Lonchura striata: one gene and its partner. The protein of the gene in region 2 purifies or fractionates together with the protein of the main gene of each other region. This does not show direct contact. Links are inferred from orthologs where the notes say so. Each region holds a gene or a part of one and is shown on either strand. Other genes may lie near its edges. The genes, in order: GPC1 and HADHA.

Region 1 (9,542 bases), on a different chromosome or scaffold from region 2:
TTCCCAGGAACAGAGTGTGCTCCTGCTCAGTGCCACAGACAGATGACAATGACAATGAGGGACGGTTTTCACCTGAAAAATCTCTTTCAAACCAGTTAACTTCAGGACATAACCTCTTGAATTATAAGAGGAAATCATCTACTTGCAACTTTTGCAGGAAGTGGGAAGGAATCTTCTACACATCACCATAGGGGCATGCTGAAAGGACAGATTTTTCATCTAGTTTTGGGGACCATTTTGAGGCATTTCATACTATTAAAGCTGTGCTTATAACACATAAATCAGATTCAAGTGCATGTCGATACTCTTTATTCATTGCTGCATATGTTTTCGAGAGTGGGAAAAGCTTTACTGAAAGTTCCCAGAAAGGATAAATGTACTTCCTGGGGCAGACCCAATTAACAGGAGTTTCTCTAACGAGTTTATGGCATTTATTTCATTTTTGGCCTTTAAGACTTCTTTCTACTGGGAAATCTCTGACTCTTATATAACACAAGTACAGTCTGGCAGGGTGGAGTCATTGGTAAGAGGTCATTAAGCAATACATTGCTTTAAGTTGCTGCTGTAAAATTGTGTGGTTCACTTCAAAACACAGCACAGAGTTGCAATTACCTGCATTAGCCTGATTCTCTGTCTGAAATTACTCAGTTGTTCCTAATATTCCTAGTACGAGCCACACTGGGGAAATGAAAATTCCATTTGAAGGGAATTGGTCTGTTCCACCAAAGGTCAAAGAGCAGCTTGGCACAGCCTTGGCATACACTGCTGCACTTGTCCTCTGTGCAACCCCTCTTCCTCTGCTCCTCAGCATCCAGAATTGTGATTGTCACTGCCCTGGGGCCTCAGTCTGGCTCCCTCAGGACCTGGGAAGGTCTTGAGGCTCTGTACATCTACTGAACGCTATCCCTGATGAATTAATCCGAGCACACAAATCCCAAAAGGTCTTCGTATTTTGGGAAGGCAAATGGTGTCTTACAAAGTCAACTGAGATCAAGCTGGATTTGCCAGTTGTACATAGATGCCCCAGCAGTTTGAAGGGATTGATCTGATATTTTTGGTGATCAAAACAACCTGACACGTGCTGTTTGTGCATGTCAGGGAAGCTTCCTGGGGGAACGTGAGCAGAGGGGAGGAGAAGATGCCGGATTTCCAGTGAAGGGAGAGCCAGGGAAGAAGTAAGTAGCTGCAGATAGCAAGGTGTAATCTAGTAAATCCTCTGAATAACTTAATTAGATTTGATTCAGCAAAACACATGTCCAGCTTCTGCTGAACACCACTCAGTGTTGGGGAGGCAGGGGCTTTTATGAATTCTGCAGGAAACTGCTCTTGCAGAGATTAAAGGAATTGGGCAGAAGAGGTACTGAGATATTCCTGCTTTGATGAAGATTTTTAATTTAAAGGTGCCAGATTTGCTGATGCTGCCAGAGAATCAAAAGTATCATAAACTGGTAAGGGAAAGGGGCAAAGGGTTTCATTATGTGAAGCTGGGACGAGAGAGGAACCTGTAGCCCAGTCAGGCTTTGCCCATCTCTTTTCCTTCCCCACTCCCCACGCTGTGTGAACTTTGCACTTGATGCATAGGGAAAAAAGTAGAAACACCACTGAATTCAAGAGAGAATGCACTATTCTTTTATGTGGCACCAAAGATACAGGGCAATTTTGAATTCTGGGTTTTTTCCTGTTTAGGTTTTGCTGTCAGACTCCAGGTTGCTGTAACTCAGCAGAGGTCCATTTTGGAACCAGCTGGAAGTCTGGTGGGTGTAATTGCATTGCTGCCTGTACAATTCTTGACTTGCATCAAGGTGAAAAAGAGAGGCAAGTCCACTGCATTGCAAAAATTTTGGAAAGTGCTAGAGAAACAAAGATGTCTCTGTGAAAACTGAGGTTGTAGAAAGCCTCTCTGTTCACTTCTTGTTTTAAAGGGTAGCTTTCCCCACTTGTGCCAGACGATTTGGCTCTTCTTCATCCTTCTTGCTCCATAATGCTTGGATCAGCTTTTCAGTGGGCAGTGCTTTTTGTCGGGACTGTCAGGAGGTGATCTCCAGAGCAGGATGGATTTTCTGTCTTCCTTTGGCTATCTTGCTGGCTGGCTGTGTGCTTTTTGCCTCCTCTGCATTTTGTCTACTCATCTTTGTGTTTTACTCTGCCTTTTCGTATCTTTCCCAGTTCTAGGTCTTTCTGACTGTTTTTGGACAATCTTTTGTTTACTTTTTGCCAAGTTCCATTCTTTTAGCTGAGGATGTTCAGAAACTGGATCTGGTCCTCAGATATAGACAATCCAATTTATAATGGATGCCAAAAATACATTTTCATCATGACACTTTGAGGATGTTTATTTCAATTTACTTAAAATGTGCCTAGGTCAAATCCTGCATGTGTATACAAACTTCACAGCAAAAAGAGACGTGCCTCACCACTTAAGATTTCTTTGAGCAGGATTTGATCCTGCACAGACTTGCAGATTTCTGTTGAAGAGCTCATATCAGCTTGTGCTCATTTTAAATTTGTCTACTTATAAGCTTCTCATTATGATAGTATGTCAGCATCCCAAAGGCAGGTGGTTGGGTAAAAAACACTCTTAGCCCTGTTTGGAGTTAAATGACCTGCTGGTGGTCATTTAATGCCTGAGGTTCACAGCAGAGCTTGTAGCTGAGCTGTAGTTCTGAGAAGAGCTGGAGCTGGCAGTGTGAGCTGTGCTGGGCTGGCAGCCTGGTGTCTCAGCTGGGAACAGCAGCGAGCGTGCTGCACTCCCAGGATTTTATCAGCAGTGACGTGACCCCAGTCCCTGCTGCAGGCACTGCCACCCAGCCAGGGAAGTGAGATGTATGGCAAGAAGGGAAATACTCGGGCCTGTGAAAAATCTGTAGCTCAGGGGATGGCTCCAAGGCCAGAGCCCAAGGGCTGCAGTCCCAGCTCTTCCATTGCCAGCTGCTGTGTGAGTCCACAGAGCTTTGTGCTGCAACCTTGGGGTGCAGCCACAGCTCAGAGAGCTTACCCAAAGTCACTACAGGCAGAGCTGAAAGTATATGCCACACGTATTCAATGGCAACACGTAGCCGATCCCAGGATTTGAGAAGGAAAAGAGGAAATTCGGTGCTATTTTGGTCTCCTGTATCACCCACCCCAAGTCATTCTGTGCAGCCAGACCAGATAAAAGGTTTATGACTCTGCCTTTCTTCTCTATCAAGTACTTTGTGTCTTTGGAGTTCACATTCCTGGAGTTCGTTCGCCTCAGCAGACTCAAGTGACACTGTTGTTACCCGTGTGTCTGCAAGTATTTGATTTTCACTCAGGTTTTCCAAGAGGAGGAGGTGTTCCTCCAGTCATGGCAGTGTAGGTACAGATTCCTCTGCTGCTTGTTTTCTGCCGTTGTTGTACTCGGATTAGTTAGATGAGACTTCTGACATGGATCTTCAAGTGATATGTTCAAAGCCTGGGGAGAGGAAAGGGCTATGGCTATAAAATGAAAATAAATCCCCAGGAGTATGGGCTGAAATAACCTCATGACACATAACCTACTTGGTAACCTCTTAAGTGTGCAGTACTTTTGCATTTACAAAAGAGTTTTCATTTAAAAACAGGGTAAGTCAGGCTTCATCCATGGCAGATTTTTCCCCACACAGCAAGCTCCCAGCTGAGGCATATTTTGGGACTCTGTAAGCCTCGGGTTTCTAAACTAAGAGATGATACAAGAGGCCAAAAGGCACAATGTCATCTGCAAGAGAATTAAGATTTGGACTGTATGGGTGTATCTGACTCAAAGCTATTAACTTTTGGTGGTAATGATGTGTCATCTCAGTTATGATCTTCATTACAAAATTCTCCCTGTCTTTGCAGGGGTTTTCCCTGTCCTCTCCATCTGCTTTCATAGATGAATCTAGGAAGTTTTAAGAGGAAATAATTCGGTGATTTTATAGGAAAGCAGCAACTTTCCCCTACTGCCATCCTGCTACTCCCCATGGCTCCTGTTTTGCAGTCACTTCTCCCATTCCTCAGGATAATAAGCAGTTCTGAAGCAATGGGATGAACATCACCAGTTTCCCATGAAGTTTCTCACATCTGGGTGACTGCCTAGTCCAAAAGCTACGATCTCTCTTAAATGTTGCTGCGTTTTGGGGGGGCACAGTGATGGAGTTTGTGTGCAATTTCTGCAATCTTGTAAGGTTTAAGCCCACAAGTGCTCCAGCTGAGGCACGGGCAGACTCCCTCCCCCTTTTCACAGAGAACAACTGCTCTCCAAAGGCTCAGGAGCGACCGCTGGGTCTTCTGGCTGTCGCGAACAGAGTCAGACGCCGGCCAAAAGCCTGCAAGCTCATTTGGAGCAGCACACGGGCATTGCCTTGACGCACAGGTGATCGCATACGTCTCAGTTCTGTGGGAAGCAGCTCAAAACGCGGCTGGCAGAGCTGCAGAGCACCAGCTTCGGGAGCTGGCAGGCTGTTGGATGAAGTAAACTCCAAAGCTGAGAATTTGTCGTAGACATTTGCCTCTCTTCCCACATCTGCTCTTAAAGGGGCACTTTCAGCCTTCCCAGGACCTTGCTGGGACTCTCCGGCTCTCAGCTGAACTGCGTTCTCCTCGCCGCTCTAAGTGTGGAACGATTTAAGTCTTTACGCGGCCGTTGTCCCGCCCCGCTGGGGGAACCCCGGGCAAAGCACCGGGGCCCGCCGCAGACAAAGAAGGGCTCGCTGCGCGCTGTCCTTGCCCAAGGACGGCGGGCGGCCCCGGAGCGCCGTGCGCGCCCTGCCCGCCCGGGGATGCTCGGGGATGCCGGGGATGCCCGGGATGCTCGGGGATGCCGGGGATGCTCGGGGATGCTCGGGGCGCTCCGGCGGCTCCGGGCGCCGCGCAGCGCCCGCGGCGGGGGCGCGGGGCGGGGCGGGGGCTGCGCCCCGCGCGGGATTGGCGCGGGCCGCGTGATGCCACGTCCGGCGGGGGAAGCCCTGCCCGCCCGGAGCCGCCCCGCCGCCGCTCGGCGCGCAGGTGGAGCGGAGCCGGCACAGCCCAGCCCAGCCCGGCCCGGCCCCGCCGCGGGAGCAGCCCCGCAGCCCGCCCCGCGCCCCGCCCCGCCGCGCTCCGCCCGGCCCGGCGGCGCCGCAGCCGGCAGCATCGCGGCGGGACTGCCCGGGGATGCGGCCGCGCTAAGAACAAAAGCCCTCAGCGCGCTCTCGCTCCAGGGCTCTGAAGCGGCGCGGCCGAACTTGGATCTCTGCCCCCCTCGGCCGAGCCGCGGCGGCGTCCGGGGCCGAACTCGCCGTTGCCTTCCCCGCACGCCGCGGGCAGCCGGGCTCGCCCGCCGCCCTCGCCCGCCCGTCCCGCCGGGGCTGCCCGCGGAGGGGCCGCACCCGGCCGCCCCCGCGCCGCGGGACCTTGGCTTTGCCCTTCGCTCGGCAGGTGGCGGGGCCAGCGGAGAAGGATGCGTGTCTTCCCGTGGGGATTTTGGCTGCTGTGTGTCGCCTCCGCCCCGGCTCGCGGTGACAGCGGCAGCAAGGCGAGGAGCTGCGCCGAGGTCCGGCAGCTGTATGGAGCCAAGGGCTTCAGCCTCAGCGGCGTGCCCCAGGCCGAGATCTCCGGTGAGTGCCGCGGGGCGCCGGGGGCGCGGTGCCCGGGCCGGGGCCGCTGCCAGCCGGGAGATGCCCGGGCACGGCTGGGAGCCGCGGGCTGGGGAGCGCTCGCCGCCCCACGCTGGAGTTTGTCTCGGCTCGTGGGCGGCCAGAAGTCGGAGCGGGGAGGTTTCCCCGGAGCCGGGCTGCCCTGCCGCTCTCAGCGCCGCCGGCAGCCCTGCCCTGCCCGCAGAGGGGCTCTCCCCGGCGCTGGCGATGCGAACGGAGCTGCGAGGGGGGCTGGTCGCGCCAAGTGTTCAGCGGTGGTTCTTTCTTTTTTCTCATTGTCTCGTTGCTTCTGTGCTGAGTACAACTGAAACGGGTTTCAGGGTTTTGATTCGGAAATCGGAATAATCGGAGTGTAGTGGGTTTCGGTGTCAGAGGTGGAAAGCGCCACAAGGTTGTGAGAGAGGAATTGATCTATTTAAATCTTCTTCTGGATGGGAAGCAAACGTGTAAATGATATTGGCTACTTAATAAAAATGAAGCAGGAGTAAAATGACCGCGTCAAACGTGAAGTGCAGGGGAAACCTGTGTAACCTACGCTAGAGTGTGTCCTCTTGCTTTCATTCTGGCTTTAGATAAATCTTGGTTGATTTCCTCCTCTTTGTAGAAACAACTGAAATAGCAAGGAATATTCAAGGTCTGGTTTGTGTGGGTTTGGGTTTTTTTCTTTGAAGGCTTGGGGAAAATATGCTGAGGCATTGTAGGGTTTTCTAAAATTCTCATCAAAGTTTTGATACACCAACTTGTGACCCATATCCGAGAGCCTTCTCCTCACTTGTGGGAGCTTCCTCCTTCAGACAAAGCATAAAACATGCAGGCGTACGTGCCAGAGCCAACCCACAGGGACACCCCAGTAAAACTGCAGTTTGTACTGCACATCTAAGCTACACAATGCCTTATGCTGAATATTTCATCAGGTAATTTTTCAGAGAAACCAATTTGTTGTCTGACCAATGAAAGGAGAAGGCTGAACCATATACATCCCTCATAAATGCGAATAAATTAATGCCTTCTTTGTCAAGTTACAACTGAGAGTAAATTTCCAAAGTAAGACGAGCAGCCCTCAAAGTTAAACAGTGGGGAGTTTCAGAACCGTTTGAACATCACTATTAATGGCATAGCACTTCAGCTGAGCAAGAAAGCGGCTTTTTATGAGTTTGCATCTCATTATTGCAGATGTGAATACATTAGCTGTCGTGTTTCAAGTGGGAAGTTCTTGGAAGGCTGAATGTTTACAAACACGCTGGAGGTGGCTGCAGCACTGCGCACAGGGATAGTACTACGGGCAGCACCGAGGCTCGCAGCAGCTGCGGTTAAAAGGATCACGTATCGCAGGTCAGCTGCCAGTAAAACACCTTGTACCTGCAAATTGTTGAGGTTCCAGGAGTGTCAGGACACAGATTTCCAGGATGCAGGAGTTCTGTTTCCTGCTGTGCGTTGGTACGAGCATACACACTGGCAGTCACAAGCCACAGTGGTTAAAATTGGAGTATCAAACCGGAGTCTCTGGCTGTTACTGCAGACAGGGAAACTCTGTAGATAAATGCCATGAAAACTTGAGGAATACTGCATGGAAAGTAATGTGAAGAAGTGCTTGGAGGAAGAAGGTCCCACACATAGAGCCGCTGCTGCTACCATTAGCCCAGTGTTTCAGACAGCTGCCAGACTAGATGATTTTCATTGGTAATTACCTCCTGACCGATGCACATTCAGGAATGCATTTTTGTGTCAGTGTGTTACTTGCCCAGTGCAGTTAAAACATCAGTGAGCGTAGATATAACCTTAGAAACGTCCTGACAAAGCAGTGTTCTGTATCCTCTTTGCTTTTTAGCAGCTGTGCAGGTTAATGCAAAGGTTGGTGCCAGTTTTGCTTGTCTCCAAGAAGAGGCATCTCAAGAGCCTCCTTGCAGTATCCTTATGTGTACCAAGTACAGGACCATGCAGTTTATAATTCCACATTTGCTCGTTGTTTCAGGCTGGTTTCAGTGGCAGTGGTTCAGCTTGCTGTCACTTGAATGGAGCCTTCTCAGGTGACACCACTGACACCTGTGAATGCATCCCCAGGCATACAGCTGAGGAGGGGCAGGTGTCTTCTGCTGTGTCTCAAGTGAAGGGAGAGGAAAGGGTCTTAGGTTGCCAGGGCAAGTCAGATGAGATATTAGAAAGAAATGTTCACAGAAAGAGTAGCTGTGCATTAGGCTGAGCTGGTGGAATCACTCAGTGATGTGCATTAGGCTGAGCTGGTGTAATCACTCAGTGATGTGGATAAGGGGCTGTTATGGTGGTGCTGGGTTGATGACTGGATGAGATTATAGTGCAGGCTTCCAACTTTGGTGATTCTGTGGTTGGGCAGCTTTTGGATTAGTTAAGAGATGTTGATGAACTGAGATCAATGTTGTCTCCTATTGGACTATGCTGAAGTTTCCTGATGGTGGCCTTCTTCATGTTTTAAGAGCTGCCCCATGAATCATGTTTTTATTTTATTTCTGAGCTGCCTAGAGACAAAATCCCTTTCCATTGTCCCTCTCTAAGGAGACCTCGCTGTTCCTTCCCTCCACTGCTTGCCCTGAAGCAAAGGGGAACATTAATTTCTTAGCCCTATGACCCCAAAGTGGTGCTGACCTTGCTCCTGTCTGCCTGTGCCTGGCTCCAGGCACTGCTTGGGGTGTGTTGGTGTCACAGCAGCCCAGCCCCAGGAGCCAAACCCCACACTGCACCCCCAGAGCTGCCCTGCAGAAGGAGTTCAGTGAGCTCCCAGCACGCAGGCTCTGACTCAGACTGAGATTGGCTGTGTTTGTGTTGGGTTTAGAACACTCACTGCACGCTTTACACCTTCTAATCTGTATTCTTAGTTATGATTTAAGAGGATTATGAATAATCTAGTGTCTCCACAGCTCACCAGAAGGTAGTCCCTGCTTGTGGCTGCATGGATCAGCTGGAGAAGAGTCCCACAGTTATTAGCTGGCTAATAGATAAGCATCTGATGCAGGGATAGACTCTTGGCTTACCAGATTTCTCATGAACCACCTAGACAGGGTATCCTGGTTTTTTGCTAATGTTGTACAATGCCTTTAACATGTCTAAGCACTTTAAATGTGTCAGGTGCTGTTATTAAGTGTGTTTAGGGAGTACACAAGGTGTTATATCTCAGTACTTTGAAGTCAATGGCAAAATTCCCGAACACGATAGCAGTGTCTGCTCGTGTTAGCAATCCTGACAGACAGCTGTGCACCCAGAGTCTTGGGTGAAGATCTGCCTACCAGAAAGTTTCTAATGCTGGGGGTAAAGCCCCCTACTCCTTGAGTTTGGGAAAGTTACACCACTTGCTCCCATGGGATGTGCTACTAGCTCGATCGCAGCTTTCCTGCGTGTTGGGAGAGCGTTCCCACTCTCCTTTTTGATGACCCACACCCCCTTTCTCTGATTGCTACAAAATAAGGGAAACCTTATTGTAAGTTGGAGAGCTTCCAGTGTTTTCGTTTCCTCTCGAGTTTTCTGGAGGTGGCAGCTGTTCCTGCTGTCTCACATTCCTGCAGGATCCCACTGCGGGTCCCTGCTCTGGTGGTGAAGGGGAGGCATACCCTGCTCTAGGGTGCTTCTTAGTGCCCCTCTTAGGGACTGGTTACCTCAGGCTCACAGCATGGCTTGTGATAGAGTGAGCCCTCACCACCACGAAATACTGCCCTGTGAGGGGGGTATCCCGTTTTCTCTGACTTGTGGCAGTGTCTTGGGGTTACTGATGTTGGGTGGGTGACTGCTCCCCAGTATCTCGAGCACAGGTAGTTCCCTCATGGGCTGGAGAAGACCTAAGGGTTGTGATTTGATGTGAATGTGCTTGGCCCTTGTTCGCTGTTTGGTTTGAACTTCTGCTTTGGTTTGTTTATTCCTGAGACTAATCGTCTAGCCACTAGATGTGGCTTGTGTTAGGTTGAT
Region 2 (9,940 bases):
AGAGGCGCTGTCAGAAGTGCACCAGCTGGTTAACACTGGAGTGAGCTTTCTGTAGCCTGACAGTGGTTTATTTTAAGTCTAGAATATTTGTGGAAAACATCTTTTGCTAGGAAGCACAAGTCCTTGTCCTGGTCCTTGCACATCTGCTTTAGGTGTTGATCCCTTCAGCATTGCCATGGGAACGTGCCAAGACTGAAGCCAGAAAAATCCTCCAAAATGCTGCAGGAAGCAGAAGCCCATATTCCGACTTCCACTGTGTCCCATCACTGATTCCAGAGTTAATGCCCTGAAAATCAGTTCCAGGCTCACTCCAGCTCAAACACTGTCCAGCACCAGGACACCAACACTCCAGGTGCCCTCAGGACTTTGGATGCACCAGGGAATGGACAACACCCACCCCACAGCCCAGCCTGCTCCTTCCCACTTTCTCTTCTCCCTGTTCCTACCTCAGCTCCCACCCTTCCACTCACCGGCACGTGGCACACGCCTTGAACTGGGAACTGCCTCCATGGCTCAGGGAAAAGCCTTTTTCCAGTCCTGGAGCAGCCCAAGCCCCAGCAGCACGGAGCTCAGGCTGCCTGAGCTGTCCCTGCCAGCTGAGCACGGAGCTGTGACCCGTGAGAAGGGAAACTCCCGGCACACTGAGCTTCCCAAGCCACCCTGGGAACCTGGTGGCACACGGATGTGGCCCAGCAGGTACAGCCAGCCCTGGAGCTCACCTGGCTCCTGACTGCTCCCTGCCTTTGGGCTGCCCCTGAGAGCTTTGCATGCACTTCCCAAGCTTTGCAAGGCAGAACGAGGGTATTCATTCATTAGCAACGGTGGTAGTGTCCTCACAGCAGCTCCAGGGCTGTTTGTTGTGGAGAGCTTCACCAGTTGGAACAAGAATTCCAACCAGCAGCAGCCTGAGAACTCTCTGGAGTTGCCACAAGTCTCCTCCTCAGTGATTGCAGCTCCCTGTCACGTACAAACCTGCTCCAAGGCTGCACGTAACACAGCTGTGATCCCAGAACCAGGAATTGCTCACCAGGATCCCTGAACCGTGGGATTGCTCACCATGATCCTGGAAACATGGGATTGCTCATCATGATCCCAGAACTGTGGGATTGTTCACCATAATCCCAGAACCAGGAATTGCTCACCATGATCCCTGAACCGTGGGATTGCTCACCATGATCCCAGAAACATGGGATTGTTCATCATGATCCCAGAACTGTGGGATTGCTCACCATGATTCCAGAAACGTGGGATTGTTCATCATGATCCCAGAACCATGGGATTGTTCACCATGATCCCAGAACCAGGAATTGCTCATCATGATCCCAGAGCCATGGAATTGCTCACCATGATCCCAGAACCAGGAATTGCTCACCACGATCCCAGAACCAGGAATTGTTCACCATGATCCCAGAACCAGGAATTGTTCATTATGATCCCAGAAACATGGGATTGTTCACCACGATCCCAGAACCATGGGATTGTTCACCATGATCCCAGAACCAGGAATTGCTCACCATGATCCCAGAACCAGGAATTGCTCACCATGATCCCAGAACCAGGAATTGCTCACCATGATCTGCTGTGCCACATGCCGCGCCACAACAATGATTCCAGAACCAGGAATTGCTCACCATAATCCCTGAACCAGGAATTGCTCACCATGATCCCAGAACCAGGAATTGTTCATTATGATCCCAGAAACATGGAATTGTCCACCATGATCCCAGAACCATGGAATTGCTCACCCTGATCCCAGAACCATGGGATTGTTCACCATGATCCCAGAAACAGGAATTGCTCACCATGATCCCAGAACCAGGAATTGTTCATCATGATCCCAGAACCATGGAATTGTTCACCAGGATCCCAGAATCATGGGATTGTTCACCATGATCCCAGAACCAGGAATTGCTCACCATGATCCCAGAACCAGGATTGCTCACCATGATCCCAGAACCAGGAATTGCTCACCCTGATCCCAGAACCAGGAATTGTTCACCATGATCCCAGAACCAGGAATTGCTCACCATGATCCCAGAACCATGGGATTGCTCACCATGATCCCAGAACCAGGCATTGCTCACCATAATCCCTGAACCAGGAATTGCTCACCATGATCCCAGAACCATGGACTTGTTGGATAAGAGCTCTCAGAGCACCGAGTCCAGCTCTGAACCCCGCACTGCTGAGCTCAGGTTTGGGTTTAAACGAAATAGAGCTGGAGTTTGGGTCAACATCAACACCAGACTCTGAGGCCCTTCAAAGTGCTCAAATGTGAGGTTTCCAGAGCTTCCCAGCCAGGCCCTCTGGCCTTCCCAGGGCTCCTGGGGACTCCCTGCCTCGGTGGCCAGGAGGCACCAAGCCAGATCCGTGCAGAGGCAGGAGAGAGCCACAGCCCTGCCCAAGCTGGCAAGGGAGATGCCCCCACAAAATCATGGAATCACTGAATCCCAGGATGGTTTAGATGGGAAGGAATGTTAAAGCTCATCCAGTGCCACCCCTGCCATGGCTGGGACCCCTTCCACTATTCCAGGTGGCTCCAAACCCCAGTGTCCAACCTGGCCTTGGGCACTGCCAGGGATTATCCAGGGGCAGCCCCAGCTGCTCTGGGAATTCCATCCCGGCCCCTCCCTACCCTCACAGGGAACAATTCCTAATTCCCAATCTCCCATCCAGCCCTGCCCTCTGGACACAGCCATTCCCTGGGTCCTGTCCCTCCATTCCTTGTCCCAAATCCCTCTGCAGCTCTCCTGGAGCCCTCCAGGCTCTGAGCTCTCCCCAGAGGATGATTCTTTTCCCAAGGCTGAACATCCCCAATTCTCTCAGCTGAGAAATCATGGAGCACCTGGAGACAGCCTCCCCCCAGGCAAGTGGGACTACGGGGTCACAGGGATGACAGGGATCCCATGGATACACCTGCCTGCCTGGAGGGCAGCCACAGCACCCAGGCTGCCAAGGACATGGGGACACCCTCTCCTTTCCAAGCAGCCACTCGGGGCACTGGGGACAGGCACACGTGTCAGGGCACAAGGACACTCTCTCCCCGTGGCTCAGCTCATGTGCAGGGATCTGACTGGAGGGTGTGTCCCCCCATCAGTGCCAGCTCACTGGGACCCCCCAAGAACTGCTCAGAGATTCCCACAGCGTGTCCCTGTGCAAGGACTGGCACAGCAGGATGTCCCCATGGGGGCACACAACCCCCAGAGACCACAGGACACGGAGGGGACAAACCTCGGGGTGGGGGATGTTTGGGACCTGCCAGGGATCCCCTTGGGTGACTCTGGGGACAAACCCCTCACACGGGGCACAGACACACATGGGGACACCTCCCACCCCACAGCTGCCCCGGGGATCCCCTGTCCCAGTCCCGGCCCTCACAGCCTTCCTGCGAACTCCTCACAGCCATCACCTCAAGAACCCTTTGTGACCCCCAGACACCCCCAACTCCTGCCCCAGCACCATGAAATCCTCTCTGGGACCCCTTGTTCCTCATCCCCTCAATGTCACCCCGGCCCTCGCCCACTTAGCGCGGCTCTCAGTGCCCCCCTGCCCCTCGCCCCCTCAGCGCCACCCCTGCAGCGCCTCCTCACCGTCCCCCCAAAACTTTCTCCTCAGTGAGCCCCATCCCACGCCAATCCTCGCTCCTTTAGCGTCCCCCGAGCCTTCACTGCCCCTTCACTGCCCCCCTGCCCGCCAGCGCTCCCCTTCCCTCAATACCCCCTCAGGCACCTCCCGTCCCTCACCCCCCACTGCCCCCATCCCCCGGTGCTCCCCTCAGGCGGGGGCCCCCGCAGTGCGGCCGCTCCCGCTCCCCGCCGTGCCCTGGCTCACCGCGGGGCGGGGTGTGCCGCGTCGGGCCGGCCCTGGCGGCGGCCGGGAGGCGGCCGAGGCTGCCGATGGCTCGCACCGCCGCCGCCATCTTCGCCGAGGTCGAATGAGGGAGGAGAGGCCGCCGGTGGGGGGGGGGGCCTGACGGCGCACGCCCCGCCCGCCGCGCCCCGCCCGCGCTGCCCGCCGCGCTGCCCGCGCGCTTCGCCGCCGCCGCCGCCCCGCCGCCGCCTCCCGCTCCGCTCTCCGCCGAGCCTCGGGTGGGTGCGACCCGCGCCGGGCCGCAGCGGATTGCGGGAGAGGCCGGGGACGGGCTGCGGGGCGGCGGTAGAGGGAGAGGTGCGGGTCAGGCGGACGCGGGCAGCCCGAGGGTGGCGGGGCGCGGGGTCCTCGCTGGGTGGAGGAGCGGCGGCGGCGGCAGAGCGCGGTGAGGGCGGAGGTGAGCGGACGGAAAGGGACGGGAGCGCACGGGGCGGTCAGGGGCTCCGTCCTGCGTGGACGGCAGCGCGGGGAGGGTGGGAGCAGTCGGGAGGCGGTCCTGAGGAGGAGGGTGGGGGTCAGGCGCGGTGCGGGCTGGAGCAGAGGGTCGGGGGTCTGTCCTCAGCGGGCGGGGAGGGATGAAGGGAGGCCGGGGGTGGGGGCAGATGGAGGGGGGACGTGAGGGGAGTCGGGGGGTTCGTTCTCGATGGAAGTGAGGGGAGGCGGGGGGTTCGTTCTGGGTGGACGTGAGGGGACTCGGGGTTTCCTTTTGGATGGACGAGGAGCAGTGAGGCGAGTCTGGATCATTCTGAATGGACGGGGAGCAGTGAGGGGAGTTGAGGGGTTCGTTCTGGATGTGAGAGGAGTCTGGGTGTTCATTCCAGTTGGAAGTGAGGGAAGTTGGGGGGTTCGTTCTGATGGATGGGGAGACGTGACAGGAGTTGGAGGTTCTTTCTGGATGGAAGTTTGGGGAGTCGGGCAGTTCGTTCCGAATGGGAGTGAGGGGAGTTTTGGTGGGTTCATTCCTGATGGATGGGGTAGGGGGGCTGGGAAAGGGTGAGGAGGTCCCAGGGGGTCAGTGCTGGATGGATGAAAGGACTGAGGGGCTGGTCCTGGGCGGACAGCAGGGGTCGTGAGTTGGCCCTGGGTGGATGAGGGGGTTTGGGGGTGGCTGAGAGCAGCACGGGTGTGTTTGGGGTGGGAGTCCCGGGGTGGAGGTGGCGGTGCTGCGGTGTGAAAGTGTCAGGGGTGTGTGGGGACAGGAAGGGAGCAGGGGCTGTTCATGGAATTGTGGATTATCCTGAGTTGGAAGGGATCCGTGAGGGTCACAGAGCTGTGGAATCCAGGCAAATCCTGGCTCTGCAAGGAGCTTTGTCTTGACGATTTGTGTGGGCAGGGCTGAGCCCTTGGGGTGCCAGGGGAGCACTGGCTCCCAAAAATGAGGGAGTTTGGGGTGTTTTGAAGGGGCAGGAACGGGGGTGCACCGGGAGGAGATGGCTGTGCAGTGTGGGAGGGAGGAGGAGGTTACACCTGGGAGAAACTTCTGTCAGCTGGGCAGGGAAAATTTAGGGGAAAACTTCAGTCAGGTGTGGGGAGGGAGGTTGGCAGAGGTGGAGGAGGAGCAGGATGCTTTGGAAAGGTCTGGTTTTGGGATTTTTGTTGGCAGGAGGAGCCTGGGGCTGGGAAGGGTCACATTCCAGGTGTGGAGCTGCAGCTGGGAGGTGTCAAAGGGGGTGACTGGCAGCTTGTGCTGAGTTATGGGGAACTGCAGAGGGCTGGGTTTGGGACTGTGGGTGTTCCTGTGCCCCTCCATGGCAAAACTCTGTGCTTGGGAGAGAAAGTGCCAGGATTTGAACCCACAAAGTGTGACAGAGGGAGATGAATGTTGACATGGATCAAGCAAAGTCCTGGAGCTGTGAGGGCCATCTCGGCAATAAACTGCAGATGAGGGTTTGTTTATAGGGAAACCCGATTTGGGAGAGCTTCAGAGGGGTTTTTGGGGGCGAACTTGCTGTGTTTGCTGTGGGGATGCACAGCAGGATCCTCAGGCTGGCACCAGGGGCCAACGAGGGGCAGGGGTGCCAAGGACACTGCTGGTGTCAGGAGGTGCTGCTGGCAGCAGGGCTGCCTGGGCACTGGGACAATTTTCCAGTGGGAAGTGGAGGAGCAGTTCCTGGGAGGGAATTGAGAAGCTCACAGGGCGGTGTTTATTCACAGGCACAAGCGTGGTGGGAGGTGATTCCCTGTGCTGCTGCTGCCCTTGCAGTGTGTGCCCCTCACCTTGCTGGCTCTGTGTGAGGCAGGCAGGACGCTTCCCTTGGGATTGTTCTGGACACAGCAGCTTGGACTGAGCCCAGCCTTTCCCTAGATCCCAAAATGAGTTCCATGCTGAGCTCTGCCCTGCGGAACCTCCCCGTGTCCTCAGCCTGGGCTGCTGGGGCCTGTGAGTATCTTTAGATTTTATTGGTGGCCGTAAACCTCTGGTTGAAGTGTTGGGTTTGGAATGGATGCTGGGGTCTGAATCTATACCCGTTCTCACCTTTAAAAGACTGACATTTTTTACTTTTTAATCCTAATTACATTGTTGCCTTGTTTGTCCCTTCCTGCATCATATGGGGAGGAGTCTTGAGTTAACAGTTAACAGAAAGTGTACCAGGTTTCTGCACAGAGTAAACCACCCAACACCCCACAGGTGCTCAGGTGTCTTAGAGTGACACTATCTGCTTTCCTAACCCTTCTTGCAGAGACTAGAACTGTTTCTGACATTTTTCTGGTATTTTTTCCCCTTTCTTGTTTTCCAGTTACTCGATCACTCAGCTGCTCCTCGCCGTTCCAAGCTGCAGGTAAGGAGGAAACACCAGAATCTCAGTGGGTCTGTGCTAGACAGGGGTGTTTTGGAAGCTGCCTCCACTTCCCACAGTCTTGTTCCACTTAAATCTTAGAAATGGTGCAGAATGCAGGGTGGTTCGGGTGTTCCTGAAAAGCTGCAAGCAAGGAAAACTTCAGGCAAAGCAGTATTTGCAGCAGAGTCCTCTCATTTGCTGAGTGCCCTGGCGCCCAGTGCCATTCCCAGTTTGCTCCCAGTGGCCATTCCCAGTCTGCCCCCAGCTCCCAGTGCCATTCCCAGTCTGCCCCCAGCTCCCAGTGCCATTCCTAGTCTGCTCCCATGCCCATTCCTAGTCTGCCCCCAGCTCCCAGTGCCATTCCCAGTCTGCTCCCAGTGCCATTCCTAGTCTGCTCCCAGTGCCCATTCCCAGTCTGCCCCCAGCTCCCAGTGCCATTCCTAGTCTGCTTCCATGCCCATTCCTAGTCTGCCCCCAGCTCCCAGTGCCATTCCTAGTCTGCTCCCATGCCCATTCCTAGTCTGCCCCCAGCTCCCAGTGCCATTCCTAGTCTGCTCCCAGTGCCATTCCTAGTCTGCTCCCATGCCCATTCCCAGTCTGCCCCCAGCTCCCAGTGCCATTCCCAGTGTGCTCCCAGGGCCATTCCCAGTCTGCCCCCAGCTCCCAGGGCCATTCCCAGTCTGCCCCCAGCTCCCAGGGCCATTCCCAGTCTGCCCCCAGCTCCCAGTGCTATTCCCAGGCTGCTCCCAGTGCCCATTCTCAGTCTGCCCCTGGCTCCCAGTGCCCGTTCCCAGTTTGCCCCAGCTCCCAGCACCATTCCCAGTTTTTAGTCTCAGCCCACAGTGAGTGGCTGGGGTGATCCACGCTCTGGGTTCACTGTGGGGGTTGCTCAGGTGATTCATGCTTTGGGATTTTGGGAACAGGCCTGGACAGCAGCTCCCCATCATCGCCAGGCTTTGGGAAGAGCCTGAAGGAATCTCCAGACAGTGCTGGAGTTTTGTCCTGGCACTGGCCTGTGGAATGATGCCAGGTCATGACATCCCTTGTTTTGAACCTCTCCCACTGGGGAGAGAATTTCTTCCCATTAGGAAGAAATTTCTTCCCATTAGGAAGAAATTCTTGGCTGTGAGGATGATGAGGCACAGGCCCCATCCCTGGAAGTGTTCCAGGCTCAGTTGGATGGAGCTTGGAGCAACCTGGGATAGCAGGAGGTGTCCCTGTCCATGGCAGGGGTGCAATGGATGAGCTTTGAGGTCCCTTCCTACCCAAACCATTCCATGATTCCAGGATTCCTACCTTCCCTGCCTTTCACTTACACACCAAAAAAGGACAATTTCCTTTGTTTTCTAGAAGCTTTGCAGGATCTATATGAAAATTGCTGATATTCTTGTCACCATCACTTCTCTCTTCCCAGTTCAGCCAAAGACTAAGAAGACCTTGGGCAAAACTGGGGTGAAGAATGTGGTGGTGGTGGAGGGTGTCCGCATTCCCTTTCTGCAGTCTGGCACCACGTGAGTATCAGAGACCAGTGAAACCCAGCAAGCACGCCCTGGTTTGGTTAAAACTCAACTCTTTCTGTGAAAAACCTCACTTGTTCCTTTGAATGTAGTTATTCTTGGGCCTAGAGGCTCAGGAGGGGCCCTGAGTTGGGCTGCTGCAGTTATTCCAGTGTATTTAGTGCAGGAATGTGGTTTGAAGAAGGTTGTCAGTGTGTGTATGAATCCCAGGAAGGGTAAGGATTTATGGAGCATGTCTAGAGGAAGCAGTTGGAGAATTTATAGCAGAGGAAGCAACAAGTTTGACAGAACTGGCAGGACAGGGGCCAAGAATCTGCTGTAGGCTCTTCTTCCTGGATTGCTGTGCCACCAAATCCACAGCTGAACTAAAGCCACACCTGACTGTTATGGAGACAGGATGGAGAAAGGATTTTCTTATGTGCTCCCTGCTGCTTTTCTGTGGGTTTATAGCAGTGATTACAGCCCCTCTGCTCTAGAGGCAGGCTGGGAGAGCTGGGGGGGCTCACCTGGAGAGGAGAAGGATCCAGGGAGAGCTGGGGGGGCTCACCTGGAGAGGAGAAGGATCCAGGGAGAGCTGGGGGGGCTCACCTGGAGAGGAGAAGGATCCAGGGAGAGCTCAGAGCCCCTGGCAGGGCCTGGAGGGGCTCCAGGAGAGCTGCAGAGGGACTGGGGACAAGGATGGAGGGACAGGAGCCAGGGAATGGCTTCAAAGTGGAAAAGGGATTTGGGTGGGATATTGGGAAGGAATTTTTGGCTGTGAGGAGGTGAGGCCCTGGCACAGGATGCCCAGAGCACTGTGGCTGCCCCTGGATCCCTGGCAGTGCCCAAGGCCAGGTTGGACATTGGGGTTTGGAGCCACCTGGAATAGTGGAAGGTGTCCCTGCCGTGGCAGGGCTGGCACTGAATGAGATTTAGTGTCTCTTCCAACCCAAACCAATCTGTGACTCCTTGAAATGTTTGCTCAGAGGCTCAGCGGAGCATTTCTGCTCCATCCCCAGTTCTTGCTGCTCACAGGAGAATCCTGTCCTGATTTCTGTGCTGAGAATTCTGCACTGATTTCTCACACCTCTGAGTTTCTTCCTCTGCTCTTCACCTTCCAGGTATGCTGATCTGATGCCACATGACTTAGCCAGAGCAGCACTGCAGTAAGTAAATGGATCACTGGGAGGGCTCTGAGTTCTTGTCAAACTGCTGAGGTTTCAGGCTTGCAGAGCCAAGGCTCTGGGCTTGGCTCTGAACAGCTCAGGTGCTTCATTTTTCCTGGCCTCCCTCCACAGCAGTGGGTGGCTTAAGCAGTGGGGTTTATATTTTTGTTGGGATTCTCAGTAGCTTGGTGTTGATGCAAAGAGATGCTGGTGGTGACAAATTTTAGTGAATTTCTGTAGTTTTTCAAAGACAACAGACCTGCTGTTGAAGTGGGAAAAACAACCTGGGCAACACAGGAAATGAAGTGACTACAAGGATGTTGAGCTAATTCTGTGACCCTCCTGTTCTGAGGGTCATTAGCAGTGGGTTTGTTTTATTGAGAAGCAGAGCAGAGTGCTCTGGAGAGGAGAGAAGGCTTGGAGAAGCCTGGAGATGGCTGCCCCTGGATCCCTGGAAGTGTCCAAGGCCAGGCTGGATGGGGTTGGGAGCACCCTGGGACAGTGGAAATGTCCCTGCCCATGGCTGGGGTGGCACTGGGTGGGCTTTGAGGTCCCTTCCCACCCAAACCATTCTGGGATTTGATGATTCTGTGAGCCATTTTGTGGAAGGGCTATGAAGTAATTGCTT

What was found.
Region 1: the proteins of HADHA (region 2) and GPC1 purify together in Homo sapiens (co-immunoprecipitation; 3 studies listed by BioGRID and IntAct, with this or other methods). This does not show direct contact. The link is inferred for Lonchura striata from reciprocal best matches to the Homo sapiens genes HADHA and GPC1.

What each region holds. Positions count from the first base shown.
Region 1 is NC_134612.1:2,667,009-2,676,550, forward strand, and holds the start of GPC1 (glypican-1), read left to right. Parts: upstream 1-5,303; 5' UTR 5,304-5,416; coding exon 5,417-5,573; intron 5,574-9,542. UniProt on the Homo sapiens protein: Cell surface proteoglycan that bears heparan sulfate. Binds, via the heparan sulfate side chains, alpha-4 (V) collagen and participates in Schwann cell myelination.
Region 2 is NC_134605.1:113,197,196-113,207,135, reverse strand, and holds the start of HADHA (trifunctional enzyme subunit alpha, mitochondrial), read right to left. Parts: upstream 3,957-9,940; 5' UTR 3,920-3,956; coding exon 3,832-3,919; intron 1-3,831. Other genes in the region: HADHB (trifunctional enzyme subunit beta, mitochondrial), read left to right, coding at 6,184-6,250, 6,609-6,650, 8,065-8,161, 9,268-9,312. UniProt on the Homo sapiens protein: Mitochondrial trifunctional enzyme catalyzes the last three of the four reactions of the mitochondrial beta-oxidation pathway.